Arabidopsis thaliana: one gene and its partner. The protein of the gene in region 1 binds, or shares a complex with, the protein of each later gene. Each region holds a gene or a part of one and is shown on either strand. Other genes may lie near its edges.

Region 1 (9,649 bases):
CTGAGCTATAGCCATCAATATACCTCCTTTTCTCTGCAGCTGGAGCTGAAACATCCATTCGGGCTTCTTCTTGAGACCTGGAACTCTGAAACTCTCCAGCTTGCTTCCTAAAATTACCATTCTGCCATTTACTGGAAAGCACAGTTTGTGGTAGAACACCTTGAGAAACCAAGTACTCTGTTGCTAGACGACCTGCCTCCATGAAAACGTCACCGCCACTGCTTCTACGCTGCACCGGTGGAGGAGGCAGAGGCGGAGGCAGCTGATTGTGGTATGATTTAGAGCGTCCCCTTCCACGTCCATATCCACGGTTAAAGCCACGGTGTTGGTGTTCAGAACCATAGAACCCATGTCCTCTCATAGGACGCTCAGGAGAAATTCTAGAACCAGACATACCCATCCCAATAGAACCAGATCTGTACCCATTCCCAACATTGCGTTGCCTAGCATGCATCTTTGTCCCTAAATATACAAAAAAAACTAATAACAGTTCTGATTTCCAGGAATTCACAAGAGTAGTGAAACCATTTAGTCTCAAAATACCAAGAAGCTTAAGTTATTTCAGAAAAAGTAACAACTTTTGAAGTTTTTGCAGCAGCTCAAATAAGTTTCACCGGACAGAACACAACAGCTTCTAACTTGAACTTGTTCTTCTCAGACCAATCCTTGTGCGAAAGAATAGAAAATCGAACAAAACGATGGATCTCGAGTTCCAGATTCGGTGAAGATCTAACCTTCTCTCTTACAGAATATGACGATCATTCGATTCCGTTGTCCGATTTCGAAGAATGAACGGACACAATCATCTCATGGGAGATTTTAATGGTCATTTTCACTTCAGTTCTTCTTCATCAAACAAGAACCCTAGAATTCCCCACCACAAAACAACAGTCAAATGTTACGGCAACGGCAATCAAATCGAGGTTAAATTTTCCGATCTAGTGTCTCTCCGATGAAGAACACGACGAACAAGTTTGTAATAATCAGTCTCCAGATTTCAGCGGCGAAAATCTCGATCGCTGCTGATTACGATTTTGGGGTTTTCGCATTTTTATTTGCGTCTCAAAAGTTTTTTCTACCATATATTATTAGCACAAAGACGGAAAGCATGAAAACGCCACGTCAGCTTCTTTGGTAAACTAGCACTAAGTTCATCTGTAAGACGCGTGACTTCTACTCTCCTGCTTGTACACTATAACTGTATACACTTCATGTCCAAATAATATCATGCTTATGAGATTAGAATTTTAAAAATGGCATGTTGGAAATGTTTTATTTTGAGGATAGAAAGTGAGATGGTCTGACGTTGCAACCCGAATGTTTACAATCAAGAAATTTTTTGTGCAATATTGTCAAGAGTTACAATAAATAATCCGTAACTGATCATATCCTAGTGGAACATCGGTGTTGGATCCCAAATTTTAACAAGTAGTATGTATAGCTTTTGAGGCCCAAACGGTAAAAAAAATTTATATATAGATCATGAAGCCCCCAAAACCGAAATTGTTTGTGGCCTCATAAATCTCAGTGTCAGCCATTGATACGCAAATAAAAATGCGATGCAAATTCTATATACAATGTAAATTATTTGTGCAATAACAATCAGTCATGTCTAATAATAATATTATCATAAACGATCAAATATTTATGACGAACAAATGAAAAATAAAAATTTGTAAATCATCGTTTTGTCATGATCATATCTACATGCTACATGCATCAATTTTAGATGAGAATTTAATGGGATTGAAGCCTAAACTATTTTGTTTGGTTTCCAAAGACATATATTTTTTATAATCACTTATCGTTAGTTTATTAATTCTTTTATAAAAGAAAAATTATTTTCATATTTATGTTTATTTTCATATTCATATTTATTGTTTATATTTAGACATTATGAGAATATATAAAATTATTTAGTACATTTTGAAAGAAAGTGACCACAAGAATAAGTAAATTAAAAAGTTGGTGAACCCCATTCCATTTGAACTTTCAGTTTATTGTATAGTATATTTTAACTCCACGACTTGTTGACCGAAACATAAACTAAAAATCTACGACATGAACGGAAAGAATAAAATGTGGATACAATTCTACAATTTAGTCTTTCACAAAAAATCAGAAATATTGCAAACATTAACGAAAATTCATAAACAAGATAGGTAACCCAACTGGCTTGAGTTTCTTCTATATATAAACAAAAACAAATAAGCTATACTGCTAGTTCGTTTAACAAACTAGCGAAACCAAGTTTATCTGCCAAAATGATAGAAATTGGTTTTTTCTGTGGTTGGAATATTATTGAAAAAAGTATTTCTATTAATTGATTATTGTAACTTAATCACTTATATACTAAATATAGTTTGCAAATTAGATTTTTTGCTCATGTTTTTCTAACAACTAGCTTTAATTAGTACTAATTACATTAGCTATAGTAAAACCACTATAGACTATGCTGGTTGTGATATAATAGGTATATATGGTAGAACATCAATTTGCCAGTTTAATATTCAGCTCCTGTTGTGAATAGTTGGAGGAAGGCTCATGCATGGTATTATTGATGGACATGCACTGATTAGACTATATGAAAGATATAGCTTACCATATACATAAGAAGACTAAACACAAATAAATGGTATTTCATATCTTATAGGTGTCTGTTTAGAGAAAAGAAAGTATAATGTATATTTCTAAGGGTTTTGTGTAAAAATATCTTCAAAATCATCTATTTTTGTAACTTCAACATTTACGTCATTGGGCACAGCACTGTCTACTTTTACCAAAAAAATAAAAATAAAAAATAATTTGAAAACGTTTATAAAGTTGAAGGTTGTTTTGCACAAAACTCTATTTCTAAAAATAGTTAAACTGTTGGTGATTTTTGTGGAACTGATTAATTAACACAATTGGAGAAAACAAATTGAAACTTTTTTGTTTGTTAGAGAGTTAAGGAGAAATTTTATCTAACCAAGCTGTGTAAATCTCTTGTAGTTTTTCTGCCGATATACATTTTCATTGTGTTGAGGGTAAACGATAATCAAGAACGAGAGAGAGAGAGAGCAAGAGCAAGAGATTTCTACTACAGAAGATTTATTATATTGATCATTTTGTGTGATCAACCCATAAAAACAGAGAGACATAGACAAGTCCATGTTTCGATGTTTCGATCTCTCTTACTGTCTAAACGGCGAAATAAAAAGTCTGATGGGTGTCACTTATTGCATGTATATTAGTAAATCAGGTATTAAGCACTCTTTTATCTTCATTGTTATAAGGTATTAATCACTCTTGTATCTCCATCAAAAGACTTATTGCATATAAAAAAAACTGCTCTGTTTCCATTTTAATTACAATAATTTTTTAAGATTTTAGTTCCATGTTAACTGCTCTGTGTCATATATGTAACACCTAATCACGTTTCAGCTTGAGCCCAAGTTAAAGCTGAAACTTGGGTTTGCAATGGCTGGTATTGATAATAAAGCTGCTGTAATGGGAGAATGGTTCGACTGTAGTACTACTAACCACAGGAAGAGATCGAAAGCGGAACTTGGTAGAGAGTTTTCTTTAAATTACATCAAGAATGAGGATTCTTTGCAAACCACCTTTCAAGAAAGTTCACGAGGAGCTCTTCGTGAAAGGATTGCTGCGAGATCCGGGTTTAATGCACCGTGGTTAAACACTGAGGATATTCTTCAGTCGAAATCTTTAACCATCTCTTCTCCTGGTCTTAGTCCTGCAACTCTGTTAGAGTCTCCTGTTTTCCTCTCAAACCCTTTGGTAACTTTTTCTTTTCAACATTTCATTATGGTCTCTCTCTTTCGTGAATCAGTGCTCTAAAATCTCTTATCATTTGTAAGCTCAGCTATCTCCAACAACCGGGAAGCTCTCATCAGTACCTTCTGATAAGGCTAAAGCTGAGTTATTTGACGACATTACCACATCCTTAGCCTTCCAAACCATTTCAGGAAGTGGCCTTGATCCTACTAACATCGCTTTAGAACCCGATGATTCCCAAGACTATGAAGAAAGACAGCTCGGCGGTTTAGGAGACTCGATGGCTTGTTGTGCACCTGCAGATGATGGATACAACTGGAGAAAATATGGACAAAAGCTAGTTAAAGGAAGTGAGTATCCGCGGAGCTATTACAAGTGCACGCACCCGAATTGTGAGGCCAAGAAGAAGGTTGAACGGTCTCGGGAAGGTCATATTATAGAGATCATATACACAGGAGATCATATACACAGCAAACCTCCACCTAACCGCCGGTCAGGGATTGGATCATCCGGTACTGGCCAAGACATGCAAATAGATGCAACCGAATACGAAGGTTTTGCTGGAACCAATGAGAACATAGAATGGACATCACCTGTATCTGCAGAGCTCGAATACGGAAGCCATTCAGGATCAATGCAGGTTCAAAACGGGACTCATCAGTTCGGGTATGGTGATGCAGCAGCTGATGCCTTATATAGAGATGAAAACGAAGATGATCGCACGTCCCACATGAGTGTTTCCCTGACTTACGATGGAGAGGTAGAAGAGTCCGAATCAAAGAGAAGGTATAAAAAGTTGCTCTAGTAACCATTATAATACTTAGAAAGACAAGACGTTCTGACTTCTGAGCTCTGATGGCATTCCCGTATCAGGAAACTAGAAGCTTATGCAACAGAAACGAGTGGATCAACCAGAGCCAGCCGTGAGCCAAGAGTTGTGGTGCAGACCACAAGTGACATTGACATCCTCGATGATGGTTATCGCTGGCGCAAGTATGGGCAAAAAGTCGTTAAAGGAAACCCGAATCCAAGGTTCTTGTATCCAAATGCTCTGTTCTGCTGCTATCCCTTTGTTGAATTTAATAAAATCAGTTTTCTATGTTTTCAGGAGCTACTATAAATGCACAGCTAATGGATGTACCGTAACGAAGCATGTAGAGAGAGCCTCTGATGACTTCAAGAGCGTACTAACAACTTATATAGGCAAGCACACCCACGTTGTACCAGCAGCACGCAACAGCAGCCACGTCGGTGCAGGCAGTTCAGGGACTCTCCAAGGCAGTTTAGCGACTCAGACCCACAACCACAATGTGCACTATCCAATGCCACACAGTAGATCTGAGGGACTGGCCACAGCCAACTCATCTCTATTTGACTTCCAGTCACACCTGAGGCATCCTACAGGTTTCTCCGTTTACATAGGCCAATCTGAGCTTTCTGATCTTTCAATGCCTGGTCTAACTATTGGGCAAGAGAAGCTTACCAGCCTGCAGGCGCCTGACATTGGGGATCCAACTGGCCTAATGTTGCAGTTAGCAGCACAGCCGAAGGTGGAACCAGTGTCACCACAACAGGGACTTGATTTGTCAGCGAGCTCATTGATATGCAGAGAGATGTTGAGTAGATTACGACAGATATGAAACAAATCTCTTTGTTCACTGATTGCTCAAATTTTTGAATAAATGAAAAATTGAGAGAAGGTAAAAGCTGTTTTGTTTTTACAGTCTTGTCGCAAAATTTAGTTAGGCCTAAACTTAGCTTCTGTCTAGACAAAGCTTAAACAGAAGAAAAGCTTCCTAGCTGTTTGTTTGGTTCCGAAAAGTGAAATGCCTTAAAAGAGTTCTAAATTTTCACTTAGGGACCAGACCACCAAAAGAAAGAAAAGGTTTTTTTACATTGAAACTAATCTTTACATGAACGCAGTCCTACCACCTCTTCGGCTGTGTTTGTCGTATGCAGTGTTGAATTTGTCAACCACCTCGTTCATGTTGCTGCATTTTGGGGGGAAAAAGGAGAGTAAGAGATCAAATATACAAAGGATTCTTTCAGGACATTTCGTTGGAATGAAATTGACATATGGATTGGTCAAGGTGTAGCACAAGATTAGATTTTTTTTTTAAAAAGAAGCTTATATTCCCTTAGCTACTACAGGCTCAGTATCTTAATTATAACAAGGATAATTGAGCAAGGTCCTAGATTTAGTTCTTAATCTAAATAAAACAAACTATCTCAATGTCAGCCTCAACCAAGTACTGGTGATTTCATCTGTCTTGGTATCGTAAAACATTGCATTGTATCAAGCAAAAGATTTGCATGCATGTCCATCATTCTTTTATTCAAATAGTTAAATGGAATAGCGTGTCGAGCACATACCTGGTACAATTCGTGATCATTGCTAGGTAAGACATCAGCAATTTGTCGTTGTACTCCTGCAAAAGAAGAGAACATCATATTTATAAAGATATCATTCACAACAACAAGCTACATTAAGAATTTAAGAGATTCGAAGGCCACTTTATTTAACCAACATTGCTAGAAAAAGGTAAGGTACTACTTACCATCAAGAAATTTTCATTGAACTTCTCTGATTCTGCGGCAGGCAAACTTCTGAGCAGACTAGATACTTGTCTCAGAACTGAGTTCTCACAAGGTTTATCACCTAGATGCAGAATCACATAAGTCATTAGTACCACATTACTCTTGCTCAAAATCATCTTCTAACACCCTTTTAATTCTTTCTTCCCCGTAGGAAAACACATAGAAATATTCTAAGATCAAGGGACAGGTCACAAAAGCTTGATTAACAAATTGAAGAGGGACCGAGAGTGGGGACTTGAGCAAGAATATACCTTTCTGCATAGCGACAATATGCTGGTATAGCACTCTGATTCTGCTATTAAGCATCTTGATGGCACTATGTATTCCAGTAAGATGAGCAGCCACTGCACAAAATCGAGGAATCAACCTAAAATTCCATGCAGATGAAAAAGAAAGAACAGATTATGATAAATATGAAGTGATAATAAAGCTTACACTGAGTCGCAGCTGAGCCTCCATCAGATGGCTTAAGATGTGCAACATGATCAACAGATATTCTTTCAGCTTCAACTGTCTGCACGCGTTTACAATCATTGCAATGTTATTGAAAGTCCACTCTCATATCACATAGATAGATTACAGATCAAGTGGCCTAAACACATACCTCAATTGTGTAGCTGGTATGCACGAAAATCGACTGAGGAATTCCATCAATGACATGAAATTCTTCAAATTTTGAAAACAATCAAAAAGACAGGATTAGCAAGATTATAATCTATAAAACAATAAGACAATCAGTGATGCAAATAACCAATTTTTACCGCTTTCGTAGATAGTCACAGGAAGATCCTTCTGTGCATGATTGATAGCAGGATTTAAAAGAACATACACAGGAGATTCATTAATGTCCATCAGCTGTAGATGAAAACCTCAACAAATCAGTACAATGAGAATCCTAAATTCAATTAAATTTATATTAAACATTAAAGCTACACTACTCACAGCTTTGTGGATATGCATATCAGATTCGGTAGCGTCACTTCCCGTAGAATACCATCCCAATACGTAGAAGTCAGGGAACACCTTCTTATCTAAAAAATAACAAAACTCACAAATTAGCAAGAGTATCAAACAATCGACAACAAAAGTGAGCGAGTGTAAGTAAACTTACAGAGTTCTTGCTTCTTCTCGAGGAAGGATCTGTCGAGAGTATCAAGAGCAGGATCGAATATCAGCTCGAAACTGTTGAAGATCTCAACCGTACGACCTCTCTGGAGACCGATGACGCAGCCATAAACCCTAGGGTTTTGCAGTAACATCGCGTCGGCGTTGTTGGAGCCATTCCCGGTGGCGCAAGAAGCGGCGGGAGGATTAAGCTGAGTTTTAACCCTAGTGAAGTGATCGGATATGTTAAGCATCACCAGAGGATGTAGCTTGAACGTGAGACCGCTCGACGAAGAAGGCGCCATTGTTGTCGCTCTCGATTTTTTCCCGGCGCTTGTCGTTGTCCTCCTTTAGTCCCAAATTCTGAAATCGGATCTTAAACTCGGGTCATGAATCTTTATATAGTCTTGGCCTCTTGGGCTTTCCTTCTAAGTTTAGCCCATATATAACTTTCTTTTGTTAGAAAAATAATGGAAAAGATTATAGCATGTACTTAATTTTTTAGCGTTTTAGTATATATTTATAATTTGAATATAAATCTTTGAAAGAAATATCTATTTTTTTAATATGAAATTTCTTGTATTTTAATGAATTTGAAAAATAATTATGATTGGATTTTGAATCATTTACTTCTTTTTTTTTGGTTTGAGTATATAGAAATAACATAAAGATCATAATGAATTAATTTTATTTAATATTATTGGATATGTTTGTAAGTGTTACTATTAAAATTTTATTATGTGTGTAGTCTGTTTTAATTCTTCTTTTCGTAATATATATATATATATATATATATATTGATATTTTAAACTATTTTTAGTTTATATAACATATCTTTAAATATGTTTCCTATGTTGTAAGTAGTACCTATCAATATTTTACAGAATATTACAGTTTTGTATTCTGAATGCAATCTTTTAAATTAAATTTCATTTAAATTTCATAAAAATAGTTAAGGCTACATTTAAATCTGTATTATTGTTATTTCATTAATTAAAAATATAACTGTATATAGTTTATGAGAAATCCCACATTAAAAGTGGAAATAGAATATGAGTAATATACAGTATATAAACCAAATCTACTCATAAACAATTAGTTTTGAGTTTGGAACCATAAAACTTAATATAGTAAATTGATAAATATGTTATTTTAGATTCTATATATACCATATATAACTCCTAGTCTCCTATGATATATCTGTCATTACATCGTAAATTGCTTATCACTAGCCAGTAGCCACCAGCCGCAGCCTCTGCACCCTTACTCATATCATTAACACATTGCTGGCTTGCAAGGTACAATCTTTAGTTATGTCATTCAAGTCTTCATATTACGGTAGATTTTTCCAACCGTATTGTTCAAACAATTGTATCCGACAATATAATCATGCATGGGATCTCGTCAAACTCTAACGACATGCTTTTTGACTTATGATAACTTTTTTTCTTTTCTTCAGTCAATCTTATCAAGTCATCGTCTACGCTTTTTTCCACCATCGCCTTCACTTTGAAGAAGCGTGAGTGTAGGTAGTGCTATATACTTGTGGGAAATTTGGGAATATGCTCATTTACATTTTTACATGTATAGACATAAATCTTTAGGTTGGATATGTGACATATTATTTATGATTCTTTTTTCAATTTATATAAACTAGTAGACCACGATTTAGTTTTCTCACTGATTAGCAAATGATGGATTTGGTCCGTATTGAAAATAAAAGACATATATATATATATATGTGTGTTCCGTTTTCCTGAAATCAACTGCAAAAAGTTTTCAACAAACGATTAAGAAAAATGAAAGTGACACATTAACACGTTAGATAATGCATTAACAAAATATTCTTTCTTTTCTTTTTTCTTCATTCTTTTTACCTTCGTTTATAGGAGGGAAGAAAATGAACCAGAATTTTGTTGATATTGAAAAACCAATCCGAATAAAGAATCTACGAAATGACACTATACTAAACTCGTTCTATGGTAGAATGTCTTTGCACCCGATAGCAAAAGTTATTGTAGAAAACTATTTTATACCTAAACAATTCACAAACCTCGGAGAAATGATATTGTTGTATATTTAGAAATGTATATCAAAAGAAGAAAATAGTCTTTAGTGGACACTGACAGACAACGACTAGTTTTATATGTAACCATCAGTTCATCTTTCTAGA
Region 2 (10,262 bases), 5.2 Mb from region 1:
CGACTGTTGTAAAGTCCATACCTAGATCATGTGCATAGCGGACAGCTTCGGCGTAGGCGGTCTGAGACCATTCGGTCTTGCGGGCACAAATCCATGTGCTTGCGAAGGCTGATTCGAGAGTAGGGTAGCAAATCATTCGTTTAGAGAGACTGCTTACTTCTACGACACCTAGCTGAGAGCGGTAGTTAGCCGCATTGAGTGTAACATTGACTCCAGGACGGGAGATATTGGCTCTGCTTTTGCAGAAACCGAGTCTTCCATCAAGATGGAGCGCGAGTTCGTAACTCTTATTTCCAATCACCGGTTGAGTGTCTCTCGTGTTACGAGGGATCTCATAATTGGTTTCCGAGAGGTGTGGATATTCAAGCCTGACTCGATCTCATAAATGCTCCAAAAGATCAACTGACCCTCTGTTCCTCCGTGTCTCCGTGACATTTGCCTCTGTACACCCTCAAATTTACATTTAAATTTTTTTGAATTTTCATTATAGTCTTTCATAGTACTGTAACAACAATTACTTATAATGATAAAAGTTAAAGTTTCATAAAATATATATAAAACATACTATAAAAATAATCATGTTAAATAATATACAAAAACAAAAATTTACATGACAATACAAAATTATATATCCTCACCAAAAAAAAAATAAATTATATATGAATTAGAAAATAAACACAACATAAAACATAAAAAAATTTATAAAATTAGATGTAAAATTATAAAATTATTCAATGTAGTTATGTCTATAATGCTCCCATATATGCTCAATGTAATATTATTGTTGTATAAATTTGTTTTTAAATGTTATGTTTTTTATATTTGAATTTATATGAATATACTTGTAAAAATTAAATGTAATAGAATTATTTAAAAAAAAAATAAGTATGAGGACTAAAATGAAATTTTGAAAAGATTTTGAGGGTGTGAGTAGTGCACACTCAAATTTGAAGGTACACTATTCACACCCACAAAAAATAAGGGTTTGTTGGAGTTCAAAAAGTCCTCAAATTTAAAGATGTCAAACCTTCAAAATAAGGGTTTGATGGTCACTTACTCCAATAACACACCCTCAATATTGACAATCATTTGTTCTAATGATAAAACTTCATAAAAAAATTTAAAACATACATTTCAAAAAAATAATGTCAAACAATATTAGAGAAACAAAACTTTACATGTTACTACAAAATTATATATAAATTAAAAAAGAAACATAAAATAAAACTCGTGTATTTCATGTATAATTTTATTATTGAAATGATAATGTTAATGTGTGTTAAATTGCTCAATGTAATATCATTGTTGTATAAACTTTGTTTTGAAATATAATATATTTTATATTTTAATAATTTTAATTTTAATTTTAATGTATTTTAATTATATGGATATATTTAATATAATTGAATTGAATATAGGGTAATATTAGTAGATAACCAAATAAAACATACAAATTAAGAAACTAGCAGAGAGAAAGTTTTTTGTTACAAAATAACCATGGACCCACGTTGTCGGAAAAAAGGAAATAACAAAGCTACCCTTCATTTGTTGTAAGATGAACAGTAAACGAAACACATCCGTGTAATTTTTCAAAATAGCATGTAACATTAAAATTTCACATGTTATATTTAGTTTAAAAACATGCTATTTCAAAAAACGTTATGAATTTTTAAGAAAAAACATTATTATGAAATTCTTTTACATGAACAGAATCTTAAAAAATAAAAATTATATGTGATTTTAATAAAAACCATGTATTACTAAAAAATAAGAATATATTTTTAAAGAAATCACGTGTGATCTTAATAAAAAACGTGTATTACTACAAAATATCATGATAAAAAGAGATATTAAACTGAATAGAATGTTTTTTCCAAAAAATATCATGTGTTTTTTACAAATACTATGTAATAAGAGAAAATAACAAGATAAAAAGAGGATATTATGTTATCGCCTGTATTTCGGAAAAATAACATGTTACAAAGGACATTTACGTAATTACACGTGTTCTCCAACATGTTTCCGAGAAGATACTGTGACTCAAGGTTAGTTTGTACATTCTTTTCAAATCTATAGTCATTTATTATAAATACTCTTGAATATAACTATCTATAAAATATATAAATTATAAGGACGAAAATGAAATAGAAAATTTTTTTGAGGGTGTGACCTTTAAAAAATAAGGGTTTGAGGGTTTATTGGAGTTCAAAAAACCTTCAAATTTGAGGGTTTAAGTGTTTGTTGGAGATACTCTTAGTCTCTAGTGGTGGACTCAAAAAACGGGAATCCATATATTTTATATCAACAAAAGATAAAAAAAAAAAATACAGATTCACACATTACATAGACAGTAAAACAGATATATTATATAAAAACTCATAAACAAACATATTTGCAGATTTAAAATGAAATTTTGAACGACCTGAAGAAGCTTCATGGCCAGTGTTTCAGTTTTTTTTCATCAGAAGAGTTTTCAAGGTTTCAACCAGAGAATCAACCCTCAAATCTGGGATGGTGCCTGAAGAATCGTCATCACTAGAGTCTGAAAACTGCGACATGTGCTCTCGCCGAATTAGAGACCTACGAATGTCGCCAAAACCCTAGAAACCCACAAATGTCGCCAAAACCCTAGACTTTTAGTTTATGGCTTTCTTTTTAGCTTGTTTTTGGGCTTTTTATGGAGAAGTTTGTTTTTCTTTCAACCAAAATGCATGTCATTTGATTTTATATAATTGATTTTCAATTTGACATGTTCACTTTTTTAAAACAGACATTTTAGAGTTTCTTAAACTTGAATTTGTTACTATTATATTCAATTACAAATGATTTGGGACCAACAAGTCTTCCTTCTCAGTCTTTAGATTGGTGGGAAAATCTAAACTGAGAGGTGAGATTTTTTTCACTCGCGCAGAGGATGCATGTATCTTCTTCTTCACAAGTCACAAAGCGTAAATGATTTTAACAAAAGGATCAGTCTTGAGAAATGAGACTATCTAGGCTTTAGGTTTTTGATATAACAGAGTAAAATATGAACAAAAAACACACGGGATAGGGAATATGAACAAATTATCGATTCACCAAAACCTATCGTAAACATAAAAGATTAATACAAATTTATGTTTACATTTGAGTATTTCTAACTATTACTCCTACTAATATTTGTTTTTTAAAATTTGTATTAATCTTTTGAAGAGTTTATTTCTAATATTTCTACAGTATCAATTTTTTTTTCTTTTTGTTTTCTAGACTTAATAATTATTTACTTTTTATATTTTTCATTATTTTTAAAAGGATGTTGATTATAACTACAAAAACTGCTTTTCACATAAACCAGTTTTAAAAATTATAAAAGAATAGTAAAATCTCTCAATAAATTTAAAATTGTTCATTTATCGATAATTTAATAATAAATTAAGAATTATTAATCTCTGATAACCCCAGCTTGTCATCTACTAGATCGACAAATGGCTCCTATTCTTCTAGAGTACCTCTCCGGTTTGAAGATTATCATCTTTTATCTCAGAGATTGGCTAGCTTGTTATAGTCGCTAAAATGATCTTCTCTTGTTTCTGCCTAATTTTGTTCTGAAAACGTGTGTTATTTAGGCTGTGTCCTTTTTGGCTCATAATATTGACTTCATCTTTTGTTTGTTTCAGTTCGTCTTTTGTGTAAACTGATCTTTTAAATGTTTGTTTTAGTTCGCCTGTTGGTGTAAACTGATCTTATAAGAGTAAAATTGGTAGGAGTTATTCATCATATACTCAAAGAGTCAAGATATGTTGCAACTTAGAATCAGTCATTGTGAAATCTCTCAAAAACGAATTCTGTTCTTAGAATTTCACTATCTTAATAGGAGATCGGCACTTAGTTTTAATGTTCAAGGTGGAACACATACTCCGTCAAGCGTTGTAGCTTCGATGAATCCACCTTTTGCTCTCTTTTAACAGCTTGTTTCTTCACACTCGCCATTTGAGAAGCTGCATCCACTGTCCATCCATTCTCTACAACATCTGTGTATATATCCAGCAATAAAGAAAACAATTATACTGTTAATTCTGATTCCGTAACATATATGGTTGTCATAAGATTCATGCCTACAATAACACTAAGCTAAGACATTGCCACAAACTCTTCGACATTTTTCAAAAGTATCAATATAAGAATCAATTCAGTAGAATTCAATAGAAATGTGAAATGAGGTACTTAATCTTTTGTAAGCAAAGGAAATTGCAGAAAGAAGCTTACAAGTTGTGGCATCATCCTCCGTCATCCCTAGGAAAAGAGCTAAATCATGGATGGTAATTGTGGAGTAGGCAGACAACAAAAGCTGAAACATCCTTTTTGTGTAAAGATCTACAACAAAACCAATTCAGAAATAGAATTAGAATCTGATGGAAAGTGACCCATAAAGGTCAGGTGTTGAACAATTGATGTGGAAAAAGGTACAACTTCACAAAATTCAGATCAACGTTTAGACATTTGGTTGGAAAAGTCTGTCAACTGCTTACTCGTTCCTCCTGTGTGAGTCTACCTACCTCTCTCTCAGTTAGACCACAGAAGCAACTACTTTCTAATGAAGAAGTGATAAGGCACATACATTGATGAAATTTGATTCAAATTCGAGTTCCAATAGTTCAATGATAAGATGAAAGGTGGTTCTGTGCATAACAGAAATCCTAAACTAGGCCTCACAAGTTAAAACAATAAAACAACTATTCGATCTCAATATGTATATCAAAGCTCAAAACCTAAAGAGGGATATGAAGTAATAAAAGTACACAACTACATAAGCAATCAACAAGCTTAGTTCAAGAAACCAATTCATACTAGCTAAGAAGTCATAAACAGAGAAAAAATTTACCTGAGAAGGCAGCAACCATATCTTTAGCTTCTTGACTCCAATCATAACCCCGAATAGCTTCATATACACCTGCATAGTCGTGTGTCCACAGCTTCTGACCAATCCCCCAAGCTGCAACAACTTCAGGCTTCCTCTCCTTGATAGCTGTAGGTATCCTTTTCCAGAGGAAACGTGCGCTATCACTGCAGTATTTCCAAACAAGCACAGCAAAACATCAAAACCAAATCCATAGTCAAGAAGGCACAACCATAACTCAATAGTTTCAACATACTACACTCACTATCAATACACAAAGGAAAAAAATGTTAAATGGGTCTCAACAACTACTAACTTGTGTCAAGTTTTAATTTTTCAAATCACTGGATAGAAACAAGGTAATGTAAAAAGCAGACTTTAGACCTTAGATTCAACCTAGGACCTAGCAATCGAAGTAGTAAGAACAACTTTGACGCGCTAAAATTCACAAGAGTTCAACGAAACAATCTCTAATTTCATAAAGGAACTAACTTTAGGTTCACAACGCAAACAAATACATCAAAGAAGAAAATAAACTCACCAATCGTCAACGTAAAAGTAACCCAGAAGATGGATTGCGTAAGGCCAATCATCATGATATTCAATTCCTTCGGAAGCAACCTATAAAAAAAATTAAGAAGCGATAAATCGAACGATTAACACCACAAAATCCACTTCACAAAACCCTAATGAACATCAGAAACAACGACAGCGAGAGAAATTACGAACCTGAAGCATGAGAGTATCGCAGATATCGGCGATTTTGTCAAAGGATTTGGCGGCCAAAGCTTCCTTAACAGGCGAAAGATCCATGACTTGTTTCGATTGCACTACTCTCGAAGCTTTTGCGAAGATGACAATTCTACTCCCAAAACCACTCCAGGGAAAAGAAAAATAAATTCTGTGAGATTTACAGGTTTTAATAATCTTTTCAATACGGTTTACTTAAACCGACCAAAAAATTGACCAAACACAAGAGGATAAATGGGCCAAGCCCACTAAGCCTTAGTTTCCCGCCAAACATCATAAAGCCACCCGGTCTGTTCCCGCCAAAATAACAAACAGTCTCTCTCACTCTCACACACACTCTCTCTCTCTCTCTGTAGCTCTCTCTTGGCGCGAGTTCTACCATGGCCGAATCAGATCCTATATTGAGGAAGAAGATGCGATTTTCGTCTTCTTCAGTTCGTTATACTACCTCTCAGAACCTTATGGCAAGCAAATTACGAACTCAGAGCAATCGTTCCTCCGTTCGATTTGCATCCCCATTGTCTCACATTGTCACGGATCTTCGTCACCATCATGCGTCACCGATCAAAGGGAAAATTGTTACTCAAATGCCCCGAACTTGTTCTCGTGTCACCGTGAAGAATCTGTGTCTCAGACGCGTATTCTCTCCTAGTTCCATCTCTAGTGATTGGGACTTTCATGTGAAAGGGGGAAATCTAACCAAGGAGCTAAATGTGGAATCTCCTTGCGATACTCCGAATTCTAATGGTAATTCTTATTTTAAGGTCTTTTTCTTGTACAAGTTTTTCTAAGAAAATTTAGGAGAATGTTGATATAATGAAGGTGGAATTAGGAAATTTCAATATCTGTTTAGAAACTATAATGATTACACAATGGTGAAAACAGTTATGAGAGAAGGAAGCAAATATCTTGTTGATGGATTAGTGGCTACTGGAGGTGATTTAGAAGTAGTGGAATGCTCACAAACGACGCCACCGGATTTAGGAATGTTCACCGGTGAGCTTTCTTTGGTGAAAAATGAAGCAGGTTCTATCAATCAAGAGATCAGTGAGGTCTCTGGGAAGAAAGTTGGTACCAATCTCGGCAGCAAAGTGGTATGTTTTTTACTCATGGTTTTATAGCAAATGATGCGTTTAAACTACAATATTGGCTTTTCGTTGGTTGCTTAATTTTCTTCTTGTGATATGTATACAGATTCGTCATCCGGAAAAGATTTTCAAGAACCCTGGCTCTGTGAGCTATAGAAGAATGCTTCCTTACTTGATGGAAGCTGCAGATGTTACCCGAGATGGTGATGCAAAAGATCCTAAGGATGAAAGAGGTGAATTGATGGCAGCAAATTACCGACTTCCTGAAACCGTATCTGCCAATAGCTTTGTTAAAGCTCATGGAAACAATAGCCCTTTCAAGAAGATGACTTCATCCAGTGGCAACAAAATTTCTGTATGATCTGTTTTTTTTTAAGAAGCTGCAGTCTTGTTCCTTATTTAAGAATCTGTTTTTGACATTTTCCCTGTTGTGACATGAAACAGCTGTGCTGCCGGCGCAAGCTATTTAAAGTGCCAGGTTCTGTAAATTACAGAAGAATGCTTTCATATCTCAAAGAGAACTCAGAGGATAATCATGGTTAGTCTCTTTATATTCATGTTTAGCACACGGTATAATTCAATGTCAGTACTAGTCAGATAATAATACTGTCTTCTGTGGCTTGGTAAATTGTAAGATAGTATAAATGCATGATATTAGCTTGTATTGAAATTATAAAGTCAGAATTGGTAGCCTTAGAAATTGATGTCTCTTTTCTTTCATTGTTCTTCTAGGAACTCCTGAAACCACGCATACAGATCCTCAGAAGAATATAGAGGAGAATGCTTCAGCTATTGAGGCTAAAGGGGCATCAAATGAAGTTACAGATTTAGATACATGCTCTAACAACGTTGAGACGCCACTAGCTGATCCAAAGAATGAGCAAGAAACTCAACTTTTGTTAGCTGAGTTTAGCTGTTAGTGTTAATCAGTTAGTAACAAAGTCATGTATATAGGGTTTAAGCGTATTTGACTTGTTTACACAGAGCTTGTTCATCTAGGTACTTGTAGTTGTAGGTCAAAGAACTGAAACGAAAACATTAGAGGTACCTATGCATTAGACTTGTTGATTCTTATGTCTCCATATTTTTCTGATTGTCCTTTATTGGTAAGTGAAAGACAATAGTAGTCTCTTTAAAGGTTTAATTTCAGTTGTTTTATATTTTGAAACCAGGAATGCTTTATTGATCTTGACAATGTACAATGGAATAACAGAGGAATTTAAGAATTGCATCAAACAAGCAGAGAAATATGAGGTAATATGTGTTCATCAGACTCTGGACTTCTTGCATTCTGGAGGGAATCCACGAGGGAACCTTTTGAGATCAGAGCAATAATTATAGATCATGAAGTATTTCTGAACCCATCTGAGTCTCCTCCTGCCATAAGCATTGAGCTCGGTTGCCACTTGCAATTTACCATCACCAAAAGAACTCTTGAATTTAGGGTCACATCCTGAAGAGGCTGTGCAAGCCGCAGCGTTGAATCCTCTGTAGTAAGCTGTGAAAGGAGCCTTGGACCAGTCAGTCTTGACTAGACCACCTCTCGTGGCCCAATCGTCTGCATTCCACAGGCTAGAGTAGATCCTCATGGGTTGACTCTTTGGGAAAGGAACGCCGAGCTTCTCTGCATTGTTGAACACTCTAATGGGTAAATTGTCCACCAAGAATCTGCAGAGACAAGAACAAGAGAGTCAAGATCTACGTCTTTCACTTATTGTTAGAGAAAATAGATCGATGGATGTTTACATGATGTGTTGGGGTCTCCAGACAATGGAGTAAGTGTGGAAGTTCTTGGTTGGGTCGAACCAGAGATAAAACTGTTGCTCTCTGTCTCCTTTCCCTTGAGCAAAGACATTGGTGTGAAGAACATAAGGCTTCCCTGTCTCGTTACCTAGAAACTCAAAGTCTATCTCGTCATGTGTTGCTCCTTGTGAAGACAACTGCAAACATGTACGTTCAAACAAATTTAGAAAAGAGTCTCTTCAGTTTTAGCAACATTATGAGTGAGTGTGAGTTTGAAAACGCTACGTAGTAAGCAGTGACGGTGCCGGCCGAGTTTCCGGCGACAAGTTTGAGCTGCATATCGATCCGACCGAACAAATACTCTTTTTTGGATTTGAAACCTGACCCGGAAACCTGGTCCAGCGACAAAGACAGCATATTTCCTCCGTTGAAGATTTTGCCTCTGTGGTCACCCCAAGTGAGGTCAAACTCGTCGAAGAAGTTGCTTGCGTAGGCCGAACCGAACAATGTCACAAGAAGAACAGTCGCCACGATGGTGGTGAGGCTCGAACTTGGACCCATTTGGGTTTGGTTGATAGAAATGAAAGTTGTGGGGGTGAGTTTGGAAACTAAAAGAAGATGAGAGCTTTGTGTTTTGGTGTGAGATGAGTTTTAAGAAGGAGATATGCATATATATAGGTGGAGAAGCATTGGGAAGCTAAGACCAACTCCAGCAGTAGTTTCTTAGTAGAAACTCATACAATTTTAAAAAATAAAAATATTGAAAAGTTAAGAAACAGATGAGAGAAAATCTCTAAAATTCCTAATATTAGGATCGTTTCTATTACTCATATAAGTTGGTTTTTTGGATGTAAAAGTAAAATATTAATACATTTTGTTTTCTTAGAAACTACATGAATCCTATACAATGGAGTTGCTCTAACTTAACCAGATTGTGTTTTGACATTTATTTGCTCATTTTCAATAGTAAATAGCTCATAATAATTGCATCTTATTGCATTATTGAGAAACTCATCATTAGTATTTCCTTTATTCTCATGATCAGGCCTATTTTAATATGGATGGAATTTTGAAACAAAATAGAAAAAAGAAAAGAGAAAATGAAAGCTGTCCAAAAGAAAGAGAACAAAAAAAGAGTGTGTGAGCTGAGAACACTGAGTACTGAGTTCGTAATCACTCAGTCGATAGCTGTTGCCAGCTCTTCTGCTACACCCATCATACCTCGAGCCTCCTTTTTTATTTTGTTATAGGCTTTTAAATTTTTCTTCTTTTAATAAAATTTTAATCTACATTGAAATGATCAAATTATTTAACTCACTATAGTATTGTTTTTAGAGTGAGGATAGAAAAGCTAATAATACATCATTCCATGAATTTGATCGCATCCTCCTACATAGTGATTAAACAAATTTTTTTGTACAAAAGCTATATCTTTTCTTTTTACATTAATATTAAAATATATTAAAGAAACCTGAAAACGTTTTTACAAGAACTTGAAACTTAGGATTTGACATCCCCAAGATGCAAACCACAACCAATAAATCAACATTGTAGCGTCGACCACACCATTCTCTCTTATGGATGAAATCCTATTTCGAATAATCTTGTAGCTTTGTAACAAATCATTTGGAAATTGTAATGGAACTAGAAAACTATTCTATGTAATATACAAGGATCGTCTATTGAAACCAATCAAATCCATATTGTTCTGTATATAATAATAGTTTGCAGGACAAAAACGAGAAATCATAAAGGGTTACTAATATTTATGATTGGAGAACTTCCCCATGCTTTTCAAGTTTAGT

What was found.
Region 2: CSN6B (region 1) and COP9 share a complex: the UniProt entries of both Arabidopsis thaliana proteins name them as parts of the CSN complex.

The regions. Positions count from the first base shown.
Region 1 is NC_003075.7:13,353,361-13,363,009, reverse strand, and holds CSN6B (COP9 signalosome subunit 6B), read right to left. Parts: upstream 8,019-9,649; 5' UTR 7,782-8,018; coding exon 7,484-7,781; intron 7,404-7,483; coding exon 7,315-7,403; intron 7,228-7,314; coding exon 7,134-7,227; intron 7,039-7,133; coding exon 6,977-7,038; intron 6,887-6,976; coding exon 6,808-6,886; intron 6,717-6,807; coding exon 6,624-6,716; intron 6,434-6,623; coding exon 6,333-6,433; intron 6,204-6,332; coding exon 6,148-6,203; intron 5,766-6,147; coding exon 5,684-5,765; 3' UTR 5,415-5,683; downstream 1-5,414. Other genes in the region: AT4G26450 (uncharacterized protein), read right to left, coding at 1-454; WRKY34 (WRKY DNA-binding protein 34), read left to right, coding at 3,460-3,777, 3,863-4,560, 4,648-4,806, 4,883-5,414. UniProt on the Arabidopsis thaliana protein: Component of the COP9 signalosome complex (CSN), a complex involved in various cellular and developmental processes such as photomorphogenesis and auxin and jasmonate responses.
Region 2 is NC_003075.7:8,129,179-8,139,440, forward strand, and holds COP9 (COP9 signalosome, subunit CSN8), read right to left. Parts: upstream 5,811-10,262; 5' UTR 5,690-5,810; coding exon 5,606-5,689; intron 5,498-5,605; coding exon 5,418-5,497; intron 5,044-5,417; coding exon 4,862-5,043; intron 4,354-4,861; coding exon 4,246-4,353; intron 4,011-4,245; coding exon 3,871-4,010; 3' UTR 3,702-3,870; downstream 1-3,701. Other genes in the region: AT4G14104 (capsid-like protein), read right to left, coding at 1-136; AT4G14105 (uncharacterized protein), read right to left, coding at 298-498; AT4G14120 (uncharacterized protein), read left to right, coding at 6,007-6,373, 6,512-6,720, 6,821-7,069, 7,159-7,252, 7,447-7,634; XTH15 (xyloglucan endotransglucosylase/hydrolase 15), read right to left, coding at 7,983-8,382, 8,461-8,654, 8,743-9,018. UniProt on the Arabidopsis thaliana protein: Component of the COP9 signalosome complex (CSN), a complex involved in various cellular and developmental processes such as photomorphogenesis and auxin and jasmonate responses.